Linked DNA regions of Schizosaccharomyces pombe. The main gene of each other region encodes a partner of the protein of the gene in region 3 in a complex. Links are inferred from orthologs where the notes say so. Each region holds a gene or a part of one and is shown on either strand. Other genes may lie near its edges. A codon is read from its position in the direction of its gene.

Evidence for each region.
Region 1: the proteins of din1 (region 3) and dhp1 are in contact, whole or in part, in a crystal structure (PDB 3FQD), measured with the Schizosaccharomyces pombe proteins. Residues at the interface, in NP_594904.1 of Schizosaccharomyces pombe: Tyr45 (codon at 1,427), Tyr46 (codon at 1,424), Pro47 (codon at 1,421), Ile158 (codon at 1,088), Trp159 (codon at 1,085), Asp160 (codon at 1,082), Ala161 (codon at 1,079), Cys162 (codon at 1,076), Ser163 (codon at 1,073), Arg164 (codon at 1,070), Ile167 (codon at 1,061), Glu168 (codon at 1,058), Trp204 (codon at 950), Asp205 (codon at 947), Lys206 (codon at 944), Glu231 (codon at 869), His236 (codon at 854), Glu288 (codon at 698); in NP_594155.1 of Schizosaccharomyces pombe: Arg218 (codon at 2,748), Val219 (codon at 2,751), Pro221 (codon at 2,757), Glu222 (codon at 2,760), Asp318 (codon at 3,048), Arg321 (codon at 3,057), Leu371 (codon at 3,207), Asp372 (codon at 3,210), Lys789 (codon at 4,461), Ser843 (codon at 4,623), Phe845 (codon at 4,629), Val846 (codon at 4,632), His847 (codon at 4,635), Lys848 (codon at 4,638), Ser849 (codon at 4,641), Met850 (codon at 4,644), Leu851 (codon at 4,647), Leu852 (codon at 4,650), Arg853 (codon at 4,653), Gly854 (codon at 4,656), Lys856 (codon at 4,662).
Region 2: the proteins of din1 (region 3) and rhn1 are in contact, whole or in part, in a cryo-EM structure (PDB 8YF5), measured with the Komagataella phaffii proteins. The link is inferred for Schizosaccharomyces pombe from one-to-one orthologs. Residues at the interface, in XP_002490393.1 of Komagataella phaffii: Ser62, Lys63, His64, Phe65, Leu66, Leu67, Gln147, Lys154, Lys186, Lys188, Cys189; in XP_002490270.1 of Komagataella phaffii: Gln19, Tyr59, Asn62, Gln66, Arg105, Val109, Gln112, Arg113, Lys114.

Annotation. Positions count from the first base shown.
Region 1 is NC_003424.3:3,355,450-3,362,988, reverse strand, and holds dhp1 (5'-3' exoribonuclease Dhp1), read left to right. Parts: upstream 1-1,985; 5' UTR 1,986-2,096; coding exon 2,097-5,072; 3' UTR 5,073-5,239; coding exon of another isoform or gene 5,240-5,860; 3' UTR 5,861-5,909; coding exon of another isoform or gene 5,910-6,257; 3' UTR 6,258-6,845; downstream 6,846-7,539. Other genes in the region: Tf2-4 (retrotransposable element/transposon Tf2-type), read left to right, coding at 1-1,442; SPOM_SPAC26A3.11 (mitochondrial omega-amidase), read right to left, coding at 5,240-5,860, 5,910-6,257; cnt6 (centaurin ADOP ribosylation factor GTPase-activating protein), read right to left, coding at 7,374-7,539. UniProt on the Schizosaccharomyces pombe protein: Possesses 5'->3' exoribonuclease activity. Required for the processing of nuclear mRNA and rRNA precursors. May promote the termination of transcription by RNA polymerase II. Essential for vegetative cell growth and chromosome segregation.
Region 2 is NC_003423.3:1,033,496-1,037,759, forward strand, and holds rhn1 (RNA polymerase II transcription termination factor), read left to right. Parts: upstream 1-2,026; 5' UTR 2,027-2,042; coding exon 2,043-2,190; exon of another isoform or gene 2,191-2,238; coding exon 2,239-2,339; exon of another isoform or gene 2,340-2,407; coding exon 2,408-2,602; intron 2,603-2,649; coding exon 2,650-3,369; downstream 3,370-4,264. Other genes in the region: serine/threonine protein kinase Ppk27, read left to right, coding at 3,582-4,264.
Region 3 is NC_003424.3:5,219,720-5,224,026, forward strand, and holds din1 (RNA NAD-cap (NAD-forming) hydrolase/RNA pyrophosphohydrolase Din1), read right to left. Parts: upstream 1,668-4,307; 5' UTR 1,560-1,667; coding exon 501-1,559; downstream 1-500. Other genes in the region: DNA replication factor C complex subunit Ctf8, read right to left, coding at 1-128, 178-294; SPOM_SPAC19D5.10C (uncharacterized protein), read right to left, coding at 1,668-1,922, 1,992-2,000; uga1 (4-aminobutyrate aminotransferase (GABA transaminase)), read left to right, coding at 3,465-4,307. UniProt on the Schizosaccharomyces pombe protein: Decapping enzyme for NAD-capped RNAs: specifically hydrolyzes the nicotinamide adenine dinucleotide (NAD) cap from a subset of RNAs by removing the entire NAD moiety from the 5'-end of an NAD-capped RNA.

The DNA.
Region 1 (7,539 bases), 1.9 Mb from region 3:
TCTCGATAACCGATGATTTTAAAAACCAAGTGGTTACAGAATATACGAATGATACAAAATTGTTGAATTTACTAAACAATGAAGACAAACGAGTGGAAGAGAATATCCAACTCAAAGATGGCTTACTAATTAACAGTAAAGACCAAATCTTATTACCTAATGATACTCAGCTGACTAGGACAATTATTAAAAAGTATCATGAAGAAGGTAAATTGATTCATCCAGGCATTGAACTTCTTACAAACATTATATTACGTAGATTTACGTGGAAAGGAATAAGAAAACAAATACAAGAATATGTACAGAACTGCCATACATGTCAAATAAACAAATCTAGGAATCATAAACCTTATGGACCTTTACAACCAATTCCCCCATCAGAAAGACCTTGGGAATCTTTATCAATGGATTTTATTACAGCTTTACCAGAATCATCTGGTTATAATGCACTTTTCGTGGTAGTTGACCGATTTTCAAAAATGGCAATCTTAGTACCTTGTACGAAATCCATTACAGCAGAGCAAACAGCTCGAATGTTTGATCAACGAGTTATTGCTTATTTCGGCAATCCAAAAGAAATCATTGCAGATAATGATCATATTTTTACTTCCCAAACGTGGAAAGATTTCGCACATAAATATAATTTCGTTATGAAATTTTCGTTACCATACAGACCACAAACTGATGGACAAACTGAGCGTACAAACCAAACTGTGGAGAAATTACTAAGATGTGTATGTAGCACACATCCAAATACATGGGTAGATCATATATCCCTAGTGCAACAATCTTACAACAATGCGATACATTCAGCAACTCAAATGACACCTTTTGAGATAGTACATCGCTATTCACCAGCTTTATCACCTTTAGAGTTACCTAGCTTTAGTGACAAAACTGACGAAAACTCTCAGGAAACGATCCAAGTATTTCAAACAGTTAAAGAACACTTGAATACAAACAACATAAAGATGAAAAAGTATTTCGATATGAAAATACAAGAAATTGAAGAATTTCAACCTGGAGACCTAGTTATGGTCAAAAGAACGAAAACAGGTTTTCTTCATAAATCCAATAAATTAGCACCTAGTTTTGCAGGACCGTTCTATGTGTTACAGAAGTCGGGTCCAAACAACTATGAATTGGATCTTCCAGATTCAATCAAGCACATGTTTTCATCTACTTTTCATGTTTCTCACCTAGAAAAGTATCGACATAATTCAGAACTCAATTACGCTACCATTGATGAGTCTGATATTGGAACAATTCTTCATATCCTAGAACATAAAAACAGAGAACAAGTACTCTACTTAAATGTCAAGTACATTTCGAATCTAAATCCGAGTACTATTATGTCAGGATGGACTACATTAGCTACAGCGCTACAAGCGGACAAAGCAATTGTCAATGATTATATTAAAAACAATAATCTAAATATCTGAGAACATATGACTTATCCTCAGATTTACATAGAAAATCTTGGGGAGGGCAATGTCAGCAATACTACACTACGCTATAATACACTACGTTGAGTATCACTATATGTCACATGTTCTAATTATATATCGTACCATGTATGATACGATATGGAGATTGATCTTAATGATAATCTATTAAGATCAATATTATCTGAATACTATAAATAGAGCTACTGCTGAACCTCGTTCCTCAGTTCAGTTATGAGCTATATTAGTGATAGGTAACATTATAACCCAGTTAATACAATACCTATACTCAGTTGCTACTTATACAACCTGTGTATTGTAATATAATAGATCACAAGGAAAACTCACCGCAGTTCTACGTATCCTTAAATCAGATACCAAACTGCGTAGCTTACACTTAAGAGACTAGATTTTAACTATTGTATAGCGAGTACGTTAGTAATTTCCAATTTACTCCAATGTGCGTTAAAAAATTTAGGTAGGACTGCGGAGACTACGCTAGATCTAGATTAAAATACCTAAATATTAAATCTTCAACTTATACTACACTCGTAGTCTTTAGTATCTAAAATTTACCAATTTGGGCTTTTTTGAAGCATTTGGTTTGGAGAAGATTTATTCGATTGAGTATTTTCTCCTTTACACCAAAAAATGGGTGTTCCAGCACTTTTCCGCCTTTTGTCGAGGAAATTCGCAAAGGTCATTACACCTGTTATTGAGGCTCCTACTGAAAAGCTTCCAGATGGTACTGAAATTGAACCAGATTTAAGTCTTCCCAATCCAAACGGAGTGGAATGCGACAACTTGTATTTGGATATGAATGGTATTGTTCATCCTTGTTCCCATCCTGAAGATCGCCCCGCTCCAGAGACTGAAGACGAGATGATGGTTGCTGTCTTTGAATACACGGATCGTATTCTTGCCATGGTTCGTCCTCGTCAGTTATTGTTCATTGCAATCGATGGCGTGGCTCCTAGAGCCAAAATGAATCAGCAGAGATCACGTCGTTTTCGTTCTTCTCGTGAAGCAGCTCTCAAAGAAGAAGAATTACAAGCCTTCATTGAGGAGGCAAAACAACAGGGAATTCCCATCGACGAAAACGCTACGAAGAAAAAATCTTGGGACAGTAATTGCATTACCCCCGGCACACCTTTCATGGACACTTTGGCCAAGTCTCTTCGTTACTACATAATAAATAAACTAAATAGTGATCCGTGCTGGAGAAATGTCAGATTTATACTTTCTGACGCCTCGGTTCCTGGTGAAGGTGAGCATAAGATCATGGAATTTATTCGATCTCAACGAGTGAAACCAGAGTATGATCCAAATACACACCACGTTGTTTACGGTTTAGATGCAGACCTAATTATGCTTGGTTTGGCTACTCATGAACCCCATTTTCGTGTATTGCGTGAAGATGTCTTCTTTCAACAAGGAAGTACTAAAAAGACAAAGGAAGAGCGTCTTGGCATCAAGAGACTTGATGATGTTTCTGAGACCAATAAGGTTCCTGTAAAAAAACCATTTATATGGCTCAACGTTAGCATTTTGAGGGAGTATCTAGAAGTGGAACTTTATGTCCCCAATTTACCTTTTCCATTTGACTTAGAACGTGCGATTGACGACTGGGTCTTCTTTATCTTTTTTGTGGGTAATGATTTTCTTCCTCATTTGCCTAGTTTAGATATTCGTGATGGTGCCGTAGAGCGGTTGACTGAAATATGGCGAGCTAGTCTTCCGCACATGGGTGGTTATCTTACTTTGGATGGTTCTGTTAATTTAGCTCGTGCTGAAGTCATTCTGAGTGCTGTAGGTAACCAGGAAGATGATATTTTTAAGCGTCTTAAACAGCAAGAAGATCGTCGTAACGAAAACTATAGACGCCGTCAACAACGCGAGTCAAATCAGGAATCAGAATCTTATGTTGACAACGTCGTAATTCAGCGTTCAGTTGAGACGCAATCGACAGAAGTTGTTACCTCTTCTAAATCAACTTCTGTTGATACTAAACCGCCAAAGAAAACTCAAAAAATTGACGCTCCGGCTCCAGTGGATTTGGTTAATTTGTCTGAAAAAACTTCAAATCGATCTCTAGGCGCTACTAATAGAGAATTAATTAATAATCGCGCTGCTAACCGTCTTGGACTTTCTAGGGAAGCAGCTGCTGTTTCTTCAGTTAACAAATTGGCGGCCTCTGCATTGAAAGCTCAGTTGGTTTCAAATGAGACACTACAAAATGTTCCTTTGGAAGACAGCATAGCTTCATCCAGTGCATATGAAGATACCGATAGTATTGAATCTAGTACCCCTGTTGTACATCCAATAGACACAAAAGTTTCAAATGTGGGTCAGAAGAGAAAGGCCCCAGATTCGACTGAAGAAAATGAAAATACTGATACAGTCCGCCTGTATGAGCCTGGATACCGCGAACGGTATTATGAACAAAAATTCCACATTTCACCCGATGAACCAGAAAAAATTCGTGAAGCTGTTAAACATTATGTTCATGGATTGTGCTGGGTTCTTTTGTATTATTATCAAGGCTGTCCATCTTGGACCTGGTATTATCCATATCATTATGCTCCTTTTGCCGCTGATTTCAAAGATTTGGCCTCCATAGATGTAAAATTTGAACTAAATCAACCCTTCAAGCCTTACGAACAATTACTAGGCGTTTTACCTGCTGCTAGTAAAAATAATTTACCTGAAAAATTGCAAACTCTTATGACTGATGAAAACTCTGAAATTATTGACTTTTACCCGGAAAATTTTACTATTGATTTAAACGGGAAAAAATTTGAATGGCAGGGAGTTGCTCTTTTACCATTTATAGATGAAAATCGGCTTTTGAATGCTGTATCAAAAATCTATCCTCAACTTACCGAGGAAGAGTCAAAAAGAAATGAGGATGGTTCTACTTTATTATTTATTTCTGAACATCATCCAATGTTTAGCGAACTTGTCAAACAACTTTACTCCAAGAAACGTCAAGGTAAACCACTTAAGTTATCCGGAAAGATGGCACATGGATTGTTTGGCAAAGTTAACACCAATGATTCCGTAATTCCCAATGTATCCGTTCAATGCCCAATTGATGTTACATCCGCTGACGCCCTTCAGAAGTATGGAAGCATAGATGATAATCAATCTATAAGTCTTGTGTTTGAAGTACCTAAATCGCATTTCGTACATAAATCCATGCTTTTAAGGGGAGTGAAAATGCCGAACAGGGTGTTAACCCCAGAAGATATCAACCAAGTACGTGCAGAGAGGAGCTTTTCTTCCCGCCGAAACAATGGTAATTCGTATCGTGGAGGACACCAAAGTTATGGTGTCCGACGCTCTTACCAATCGCAAAGTTACAGTAGTCGACAGAGCTACACTGGAGTTACTAATGGTTTTGCAAACGGTGGAGTTCAACCTCCTTGGTCTGGTAATGGCAATTTTCCTCGTTCTAATGCAAGCTATAACTCTCGCGGCGGCCACGAAGGATACGGCGGGCGCTCGAGAGGTGGTGGTTATTCGAATGGACCGCCAGCTGGTAACCACTATAGTAGTAATCGCGGAAAGGGTTACGGCTATCAGCGAGAATCCTATAACAATAATAACAGGAATGGCTACTATTAATACATTTAAGTTTTCTTAGTACAATTTTGAAAGCGGGTTTGGGATATTGGAGATAAATAATATATCTGATTATTTGAATTTCATTGGCACATTGCATAATTAGTTATGCAATTCAGTTACAAAATGCATGTTGATAACATAAAATTATACTCAACAACTATACCGATCTATTCCTCTTTCTTAAGAGCAGGTAATACTTCTGAATAAACATCAAAGCGGCGTTGAGTATAGATAGGAACGCTGTTTCGAGCGGTAGACATGACAGAGGGATCAATATCTGCGTAAACGATAGACGGTTTTTCATCAGTAGTAGCAATAACTTTTCCGAAAGGGTCTACAACAGTAGAATGTCCCCATGAATGATAGTCAGCGTTCATATCTCTAGCAGGGGCACAGCAAGCAACGAACATCTCATTATCAACTGCTCGGGCTCGTGCAAGTAGTTCCCAATGTAAAGGGCCTGTGGACAAATTAAATGCTCCAGGGTAAATCATCACACTACAGCCATTTCTAGCTGCTATCATAGCGAGTTCCGGAAATCGTATATCGTAACAAATACCCAAACCAAACTTCCCGTATTCAGTGTCAACCATAGTCATGGCGTCGCCAGGTGAAAGACTATCAGATTCGCGGAAGCTAACTCCACCAGGAATGTCAATATCGAATAAATGAATTTTCCGATGAACGGCTATCAATTTTCCAGAAGGATCAAACACCATTGCAGTGTTGTATAATTTGCCATCCTTGCGTTCAGGAATAGAACCGCCAAATAAGTAAGTCTTAGTATCCTACAGTACCGTTAGTCTCACATAATCAACGAAAATTAAATTAACAAACCTTTGCCATAGAGGATAAAGCTTGGTAAGAAGGAGATGATTCCTCTATAGGTTCAGCATACTGATTAAAGTAACCAGTACCATATGGTGAATTGAAAATTTCTGGTAATACAATGACATTAGAACCGTTTTTAGCGGCTTCCAATACTTTTAAACGAGCGAGTTGTAAATTTTCGCTCTTGTCTTTGGTATTGGCAAGCTGAACCAAGCCAATACGAAAAGCACGAAAATCTTTAGGAACCAGAGATGAAGCTGAGACAGACATGATGTTCCTTGTATAGCAAAAATTTAATGAAGGAAAAAAGGATCTTGTGCCTTTTTGAACGAGTCCAAAAAATTTACTGTTCATATAAACAATCACCGACTTGAAATTTTAGGTGAAGGAAGAGGAATGAGTAGAAAGCAAAGATACGAGGGAAGATGTCCTGATTTGTAGGCTAGTCTCAGAATATCTAGCTTGCGATAATTTTGAGCTCCAAAATATTATATTCCTGAAATCTCAATGTAACTTATTAAGCACGTGGCTAGCGAAATCCTCCAATCCAAATTACACCTTGTTATCAAAAAGAAATTTAGCAAGGTGATCAAACTTCCATGTCTTTGATAAGAAGAATGTCGACATCAAACTAGTTTTCAATCTATTGTAAATCTAAAGAAGAAAAAGGGATTTACATTCAAGCAGCAACTACACAAATAGAAATCGTTGTTTGAATGTTACGGAAGGCAAGACCAAAAAAATTGTTTTTGTTTATCTACAAGTTACAAAAGAATGATATTTATTACTGTGTCAACTAGTTTATAGGTAATGATAATATCGTCTGTCATTTTTAGAAAAAGGGGATTCAATTACTATAGATATTCAGTTGTTCCGAATGTGTTGAAAAATAAAATCTTAAGCGTCTTCGTTTCGCAAAAGAAGAAAATAAATGTTATAATAGCTCGAATGAACTGTTTGGCATACATGTTAATTTCACGTATATTGAATATTGATCTTGTTCAATAACAAATGAACTTATGGCATGCATAAGATCCATCAATCGAGAAGAGCCTAAAAATCGCATTTGAATGCGTATTTAAAGAAAGAATAGCTGTATCCTTAGTCAAAAAATTTTGTATTGAAAGAAAAAAGATTAAGAGTATAATGAAAATAAAGAGGAAAAGAAAGTTCGAAAACCAAAAGATGACCAAGAAAATAATGAGTAAATTACGTTGTTTAGCAAACAACCAAAATAAATTGCAATAATAAATTATAGAATTAACACATGATCCGAATAAGAGTAAAGCTGTGGAGATTAATAAGCTCTCCATTCAAATTCGTTGCGCTTCAAATCATGGAATTCACGGAAATCCGAAATGAAATGACACCTGAATAGATATTGAAATAGATGGTAAAAAGAAAGAATGAATTCGATTGGAAAAATGAACATAAAAGATGATTTGATGCAAAAAGTAAAAATGCTTCTCCCTACTCTTTCAAATACTTTGTAAATTGTTTTTGCGAAAGATATGATTGCATATCTGGACTTACATGCTCCGACAACTGTTCGGAGTCAGGAAGCAATAACCCATTCATGAATAAAAGTTCCAAGAGATGTAACTTACTAGTATCACGAGTAACCGCTTTTAAAAAC
Region 2 (4,264 bases), on a different chromosome or scaffold from region 3:
TGGAAATTGTACTTCTCCCGATTGTTCTTCAGAAATTTCCCTTTCAATCGCTAACTTTTTCCATCCTTGTAGCCTTTCATTGCATTCAATTTCATATTTCATTTTACGATCTCATTCCTCAATATATTTTTTTCAAGTGCTTCTCTTTTGTTTTCGTCAATTTCTAACAATGTAGAATCTACAGATCTCTCGTATCTTTCAATGAAAATTTTTAAATCTTCCGCAGAATCATTTGGTGGTGGCAGATTGTAGTCATTATCAAAATTCTCGTTCGACATCATCCTTATTATTTATACAAAACCAGTTGCAATAAACCGCAGTATTCTTTTTAACGATAAAATTTCAATTCACTATAACTATACAAATGATATCTTTTGTAGCCTGCCTTATATGTTTACTAATTGACAAATATTTCTCAGAAAGGGAAATCTTGGAAAATAAAAGTACAAACGTGTGTTGAAAGCAATATTTAATATATGTGTTGTAAGTAAATTCAAATCTCTCAAGTTCCCCTTATATACAACTTTAAACAAAGAATGCTAAGGACAAAGAAAAGAGTTTTTGATGGATTAAGAAACAAGGTAACCTAAGTAACTTCACACTGGGAGTACGTGATACAGATAATGAAAATGGGCTTTATCTGTAAAATAAAAGAAAAATGGCTTATTTGCAGGTAACTTATTACAAAGTTAGATTTATTGAATAGAGGAGTATTTGTTTAAAAACAAACTTCGATTGCAAACATGCATAACAAAGTTAATAGAAAAACATTTCTTTATCCTGCTTTATTGTATTCCTCTTAAGGGATTCTCAACAGCTCTAAATAATCACGAAATATTTAAAGAAAAGGTATATTACTCATTCAAGCTATTAATTGTAAATAATATAACCCATAGCTACAACAAATGCGTTAAGAGGATATAATGTTAGCTACGCAAGTATTTAATTTAACGATACGTAGAACTACGGTGTTTTCCTAGTGATCTATTATATTGTAATTCGCAAGTAATATATAAGTAGCAATTGAGATTGGTATTCTAATATATGGGTTATATTGTTGAATAGATGAATGAGCAAATACAAGACTTGAAAAGTCCTTCAATGATATATTTCTGGTATAGAGTGTTGGCGAAACGACATGAATTCTGAGTTTGACGCTACGCAGAATGAGATTGCATCCATTAAGTTGAAATAACTACTATGAAAGGTGAAATGACTATCATTGGCAGAAAATGAACATTAGTTTTATACGTTGACATTCTTACGGCACTTTTTATTTACAATTTTGCTTACTACTAGTCATCCCGTTTTAACTTTGTTCTTAGGAGTTAATTTATTTTACTTTATTCATTTATTTTTTTATTTTTTTTGAAACTCGTATTATCGTTCAATTTCAGAACATCTTTACTGCTTTGCCTGCCCGGTTGACAAATAAATACGATTTCAAACGAACAATTAGTTTATTATATAATTTTTTACGTAAGTATATGCCATAGTTTATAGTAATACAAGGGAAGCAAAAACAAAGTCTCAATGCGGTGAGTAGTATATAGTAATTCCTGCTTCAGACAAGTCATTAAAACACACATTTGCACTCCGTACACATTTCTCAACACGCCGAATAGTTTCTTTTCATAATCCCCAACATATAACATCACAAGATTTCGTCTAGCATTCTTACCAAAACTCGTACTGTAAATGTTACAGTGAGTGATAGCCGTTAGCTAAGATGACCTGCTGAGACTAAACAAAATCATGAGAAAACGAATAATGTATTTTATATACCTAATATTTAAGAGGGAATCTTGGAGAAAACTGGGTAGTTTGAGAATAATAAATGTTCTTTTCCATCTTTACAAATGAGACGAAGATTTTTGCTCTACCCAAACTAATTAATCTGTTGTTTCAAAATCATTTTAAGTATAGGCTATAATGTAAAACATTGATATTATACAAGAAGTATTTATTACTTATGCTTATGATTTCGTTTGCGATGCTAACAGCAGTGTGTCGTAAGAAACTCACCATCAGCATAAAACAAGATGGCTTTGACTCCAGACACTGTTTCTTCAAAGTTGGCTACTCTAAATGAAACACAAGAAAGTATAACGGGAATAGCGCATTGGGTTATGTTTCACAAGCGTTATGCTGATGAAATTGTCCAAATATGGCTGGAAGCTTTGTATGAATGTATGACTCCTTTAGGAATTTGTTCGATTGTCTAACTAATTTAACCAGCTTCTTCCAACAAAAAGCTTTTATTGCTTTACCTGCTCAACGAAGTCGTTCAACAATCCCGGGTCAAAAAAATATCTGAATATATTGATGCCGTTTCTCCAGTAAGTTACTATCATTATGAGCTTGGAACATCTCCTATATGGTTTAGATTCTAATAATATTTGCATAGTATGTCGTAAACTCTGTAGCTGACGCGTACGCGTCAGTTCCTGCTTCCATTAAAACAAAAATCAAATACGTTTTTGACGTTTGGTGTCAACGCGGCATATTTTCTAAGGAGATACTTTTATCCTTGCAGGAAAGGTTTAATAATGCCGAGAACAGTGGCCATTCTAACTATTACCCCGTTGGCCCTCCGGAATGGGTATGCCGCAATTCAAATAAAATATCAGAACTTTACTAATTGCATAGGCACCTTACACTCGTTTAATGACACAAACTAGTTTATACGCAAAATCTGCTCACTCTACCAAAACTGTGGTAGATGCATTGTATAAATCATACTTGGAGAAACAATCAGATTATTCTGAACTACTCGATAATTATAAAAAGCAACTAAATAAAGCCTCTGAATCATGTAAAGGTAATTATCAGGCTTGCATCGAATCCCGATCCACACTCATTACTTCCTTGGAATCGCTTATAGAAGAACAAAAAAAGCTACTTTCAGAGGAAGAAGAGAGCCTAAAATCTGTTGAATCCATAATTTCTAATTTAGAGAATAAGGAAAGTACAACAGCTACCTCTACCTTGACCGATGCAGGTTTTGGAGATAAAAGTTCTACTGCTGGCAAACATAATGTAGAAACAACATCACCTCCGTCTAGTTCTCCAAACAGTGATGATGCTTATTCTCCTCAAGTAGATTCTTACTCTCCAAGCATTAACAGCGTACCATATACTTCCAATATTGTCGAAAATCCATCTGAAGACAATCTCTCTCCTCTTCCTCCTCCTGCCAGTGGACCCTATTCCCAAGAAGAAGAAGAAACATCATTATTTAAAAGCCAGAGAAAAGAAGAAAATGAAGAGGAATCTAAAGAATTACCAGAAGACTCAGATATCTATGGAAAAGATAGTTCTCCCTCTTCGGACGACTCTAGTGCAGCTGGTCTATATGGTGATAGCTGAAATCCATGAAATGTAATGCTTAGTTTTCATTATTTTTCTTTTTTTTTTTAAACTGTCAATCAATGTGGCAGTCTTAGTCAATAAGCATTTTTAGAATACCTATCCTAACCTTTTATATGCGTCAGTACCTGACTTCATCCTATCGAAGCCGTTTTTGGAATTTTGTATATTTCGAAGAAAGTTGAGCCCTATCTAGGAAGAATGGGCTTTTAATGTCTGAAAAAAAACATTCTTGCGAAGAAAAATCGCTGCAACTATATCCTCTTTCAAATAAAATTCGTCATGTAAATCCGAATATTTCAGCTCTTCCGTCTGAGACTGATATATCTGAATCATTGACGAACGATTTAACTAAACTAGAAATTTCTAACTATGCTCCATTTAATAGAGATTTAGAGACTTTTTCCGATTTAATTTTTGGCTTAACTAATATACAAAAAAAATCATTGTATTCTCTTCAATTAGGCAGAAGTAGAGGATATGCTTTATATTCAGACGAGAATGAGAAATATTTGTGGTCTATAAATACTAAAATCACCTCTACGGAACAAAGGGAAGTACTGCTTGTCAAATCTAATAATAAGAAGTTTGATACTTCCATCGTCCTAAAACATACTCACTTATCATCCAAGTCTCAAAACGAAAAAAAAGCTAGAGTAAAAGTATTTCGGCAAGAAATTTGGGCCCTCAAAACTTTGTCGCATCCATGTGTTGTGCAGCTATTAAATTACTACGTTTCCTCCGCCGAATTAATACTCGTAGAGAATTATTGTATGGGAGGAGATCTCTATCATTACACTAAAAAACATCATTCGGATTTCAGCCTTGAATTTGTTGGGCGAATTTTTTCTGAGTTAGTACATACAGTTGCTTACCTTCATTCCAAATGTTTGAT
Region 3 (4,307 bases):
TAGACATCGACAGGATCAGCGTTCGTCTTTTGCAAAACAGCTAGTGGTTTTTTCAACGATTCAACCACGCCCTCCATATACTGATTGCCAACAGTAAGTGTAGCTTTTTTCTTTTCGGAGTTTTTTTCCTAGATATTAGTTAGAAAAACAAAACTAGTTTAAAATTTCGATTCATACTTTAATGATTTTTAAATCTCCTATATGCAACGAATCTGCTTTTCTTTCCAATGTCGCTTGAACCTCAACGAGGTAAAGCTCATCATTAATTGCTCTTATAAGACGGATTTCTGACATCTATCTACCCTTTAGTATCCTAGAGAAATACTTTGGTTGATATCAATTTTTGAAATATTAGTTTGCGCTAAATAGCAGTGTCATCTAGGTATAGTGGAGATGAAAGAAAGAGTACATAAGAAAATGAGTTTGTATTAAATGCAATAAGCTTAGAAAACATCTAGTGTATAACCCTACTTTTTTATTATTTTACAAAATTAATAGATTTAAATTATTTGTCGTAAAACAAGTTTGGAACCGCCAGTATAAGAAAGTGTAAACTCGGTTGAAGGGGGATGTTGCTTTACGGTTTGCTTAATCCATTCTAACGCATGCTCAAGAACTACCAAGAGACGATTGGGAGTCCAATCATTTGGTTTGAAGTAAGGGCGCAACATTTTAGGTATTTGATGCGTAAAAAGTTCCTTCATTTCTATTAAGATGCCATTATCATCGCGAAATCCAATTATAATACGACCAATTCCTAATAAAAAACTTTGTGCCCAGTACTTTAATAGCTTTTTTCTCATTCCATAGTTCTCAAGGGGGTACTTTTTGGAGGTCTTGAGCTCAACGTAATGCAGGTTGGGATTTTCGGCATTGGATGCATCTTCTTCAATTGTTCCATCATCACTATGAACATCGCTTTCTTTAGCACTGCAGGGCTTTTTGTCCCAAATACAATCGACCTCGCCTGCGAGTATCAATTTTGACTTGCCGATATTGATCTTGACAATGGAGCAATACTGCTCGTCGGGCACAACATCTTGGTTGTCACGTTGCTCAATTTGGTCTCTCGAACAAGCATCCCATATTTCCGGAAGTGTGGAAATGGCTTCAAACTTATAACCCCAGTAACACATTCGGTCTTGGTTGGCATAACTAGTTTCCGATCGAGTTCGCTCTTCCATCATAATAATTCCACTGGTGGGATCCATAACCAGATAAGTTTCCCAATGGTTTCTGGGATCCAAAGGAGCGCACATAATTTTTGTAATTAAACCACGCCAAGTAAGAAAGCTGGAATTCATCTGAATGCCTTTAGTCATGAGCACGTCCTTTACAATAGAAATAGGATCAGGGTCGGATTTAGGAGGGTGAAACCTATTAGGAAATCCCGTGTTCAGATCGGAAAATAACGGTGGAGGATAATAATAACTTAACTTGCTATCATCAAGCAGCAGTTCGCGATCTCTCGATAAACTATAACAGGCAATTTCCAAAGGCTCCGAAACCGGTGGCACGTGAGCAGGAGGCACATCGTAAAACGAAAATTCACGAAGCATGAAGCACGACGAAATAAAACTGAATGAAGTTCAAAGATTTCAACAGCAATGTACGCATAGACTTGGAATATTATGGTAAAGAGTGCAAAGAGAAAAAGCAGATGTGGTTTACCCAATGTCAAACAAGGGAATAGTCAGAAATATTAGAAAAAGAGAGATGGAAAAAGAAAAGATATTGATACCATGAATTAAATGTCTCGACCAACTGGATTTTACACCAATTGTGCTGTCGTGCACGAAATTGGTGGTGGAGCTACCTAAGATTCTACCTTGTACCGAATAACACAATGCGATAGAATACAATACGGCAAGATGACTATTGAAAATGCTAATTACAATTTGGATAAAGAAAAGAGACGCTGACTAAAAATTAATGTAAAACGTTATCTACTAGTTTATGTGCTTTACCATTCTTATCTTTATTTTATATACCGTGTACATTTAGCTCTGCTATCATTATATAACAAATATCAATGACTGCACGTAAATATACATTAGGATTACAAGTTTTAATATGTTAAGTGGTGATTTGCAATCCCTTTGATCACGTTAACTTATTATTATGACGCGCAATTCATTCACGCTAACCTAAGATTATCAAAAAATTATCAGTCCAAAGATTGATCAAGCTTGGTCAAGCTAAATTATGGAGTGTTAGTGACTTGAAGCGATCGTCGAACCTTTCGTCAAATATCAAACGAGGAATGGTTGTAAACATTTTAGACAATAACTTATAAATTGCTATATAGCGTGTCATCAAACCCCCCTAGTGCGTTATTCTACAGGGAAGCAAAGGAAAGAGAAATACAAACGATTTGTTATTAGAAAAGTAATTTGGTAGAAGCTACAAATGTAGGGTAATTTTGAAAGAGAAAAGGAAATGTATTTCATGAAGGGGACGCATTAGAATTTACTATTTCCACCTCATATTCACTCTTAATATCCCAGATGTTTTTGTGACACTTTGAAAACAAGTACTTATTAATTGACTATGTGGTATAAACCCATGGATCAAAAACCATTAGTTAAACAATATTCTTAACGTTTTTGTATCGCAACGTTTTCGTATCGAAACGCTTTAGTATCGCTAATGTCAAAGATGAAAAAATCTAAATTATACGCATGCATATCTTGGCCACCTGTGCTAAAACCGCCTACCGTTTGTCCCAAACGTTTCAATCCCAACTGATAAAAAAAGTGATTTTCTCTTTAACTTAATAAAAATCTAAAGATTTATTTTCCACTCATCCTTTCAAAGGCAATCCGAGCGTTTTGCTATCTCCGTGAAATTTTTTCCTTTTGCCCATCGTGATTGATAATTTTTTGAACATATTCATCAGAATTGTCCATGCACATTCATTTACATCTACAATGATACCTCGATGTTCGTTTTTGCCAACCTTCTGAAGGATGCAAAGTCGCAGATGAAATCATGAGTTTCGTCTATTGTTTCTTTCGATCATCCGAATATCCCCATAGAAAATCGTTTGCCTTGCAAATTGGTATCGGTTGCCGATGGCCAAGTGTACCGACCACATTTTTTATCTATCACCGCTTAGCGAGCTGGATATGGGAAGTTTAGGAAATGTTGCCCGAGCATAGATTGTAATTGAGAAGGTTAAAATCCGCAATCAAAAGTTGGAAATTTGTCGTGCGAGACGAATTATAAAAGGAAAGCGATTTCCTACGAAAACAGCATCTTTTTTTAAAAAACAAAGTATTATCATTCACATTTTGAGGTTTTTGTTTTTTTGTTTCTTTTTTTTCCTGCTTTTGCATAGAACTTAGCAAAAGAGTTTCATTGTAAACATTTGTTTTTATTTTTTATTTTTATTTTTTTAATTTTACTTTCTACTGCCTTAAGTTAAGGTTCTCCTCCATTTAGACTATACTTTTCTATTCAACATGTCTTCTACTGCCACCGTTACTGAAAGCACTCATTTTTTTCCCAATGAGCCTCAAGGCCCTAGCATTAAGACCGAAACTATTCCCGGTCCCAAAGGTAAGGCCGCTGCTGAAGAAATGTCCAAATACCACGACATCAGCGCTGTCAAGTTTCCTGTAGACTATGAAAAGTCCATTGGTAACTATCTTGTCGACTTGGATGGTAACGTTCTCTTGGATGTTTACTCTCAAATCGCTACTATCCCCATTGGCTACAACAATCCTACTCTCCTCAAGGCTGCCAAGTCGGACGAAGTCGCTACCATTTTAATGAACCGTCCTGCTTTGGGAAATTACCCTCCTAAGGAATGGGCTCGTGTCGCTTATGAGGGTGCCATCAAATATGCCCCCAAGGGTCAAAAGTATGTTTACTTTCAAATGAGTGGAAGTGATGCCAACGAGATTGCTTACAAGCTTGCTATGCTTCATCATTTCAACAACAAGCCTAGACCTACTGGTGATTACACTGCTGAAGAGAACGAGAGCTGCTTAAACAACGCTGCTCCTGGATCTCCCGAAGTTGCTGTTCTCTCTTTCCGTCACTCTTTCCACGGACGTCTCTTTGGTTCTCTTTCCACTACTCGCTCCAAGCCTGTTCACAAGCTTGGTATGCCTGCTTTCCCATGGCCTCAAGCTGATTTCCCTGCTTTGAAGTATCCTTTGGAAGAGCACGTCGAAGAGAATGCAAAGGAGGAGCAACGCTGCATTGACCAGGTCGAGCAAATTTTAACTAACCACCATTGCCCTGTCGTTGCCTGTATCATTGAGCCCATTCAATCTGAGGGTGGTGACAACCATGCCTCT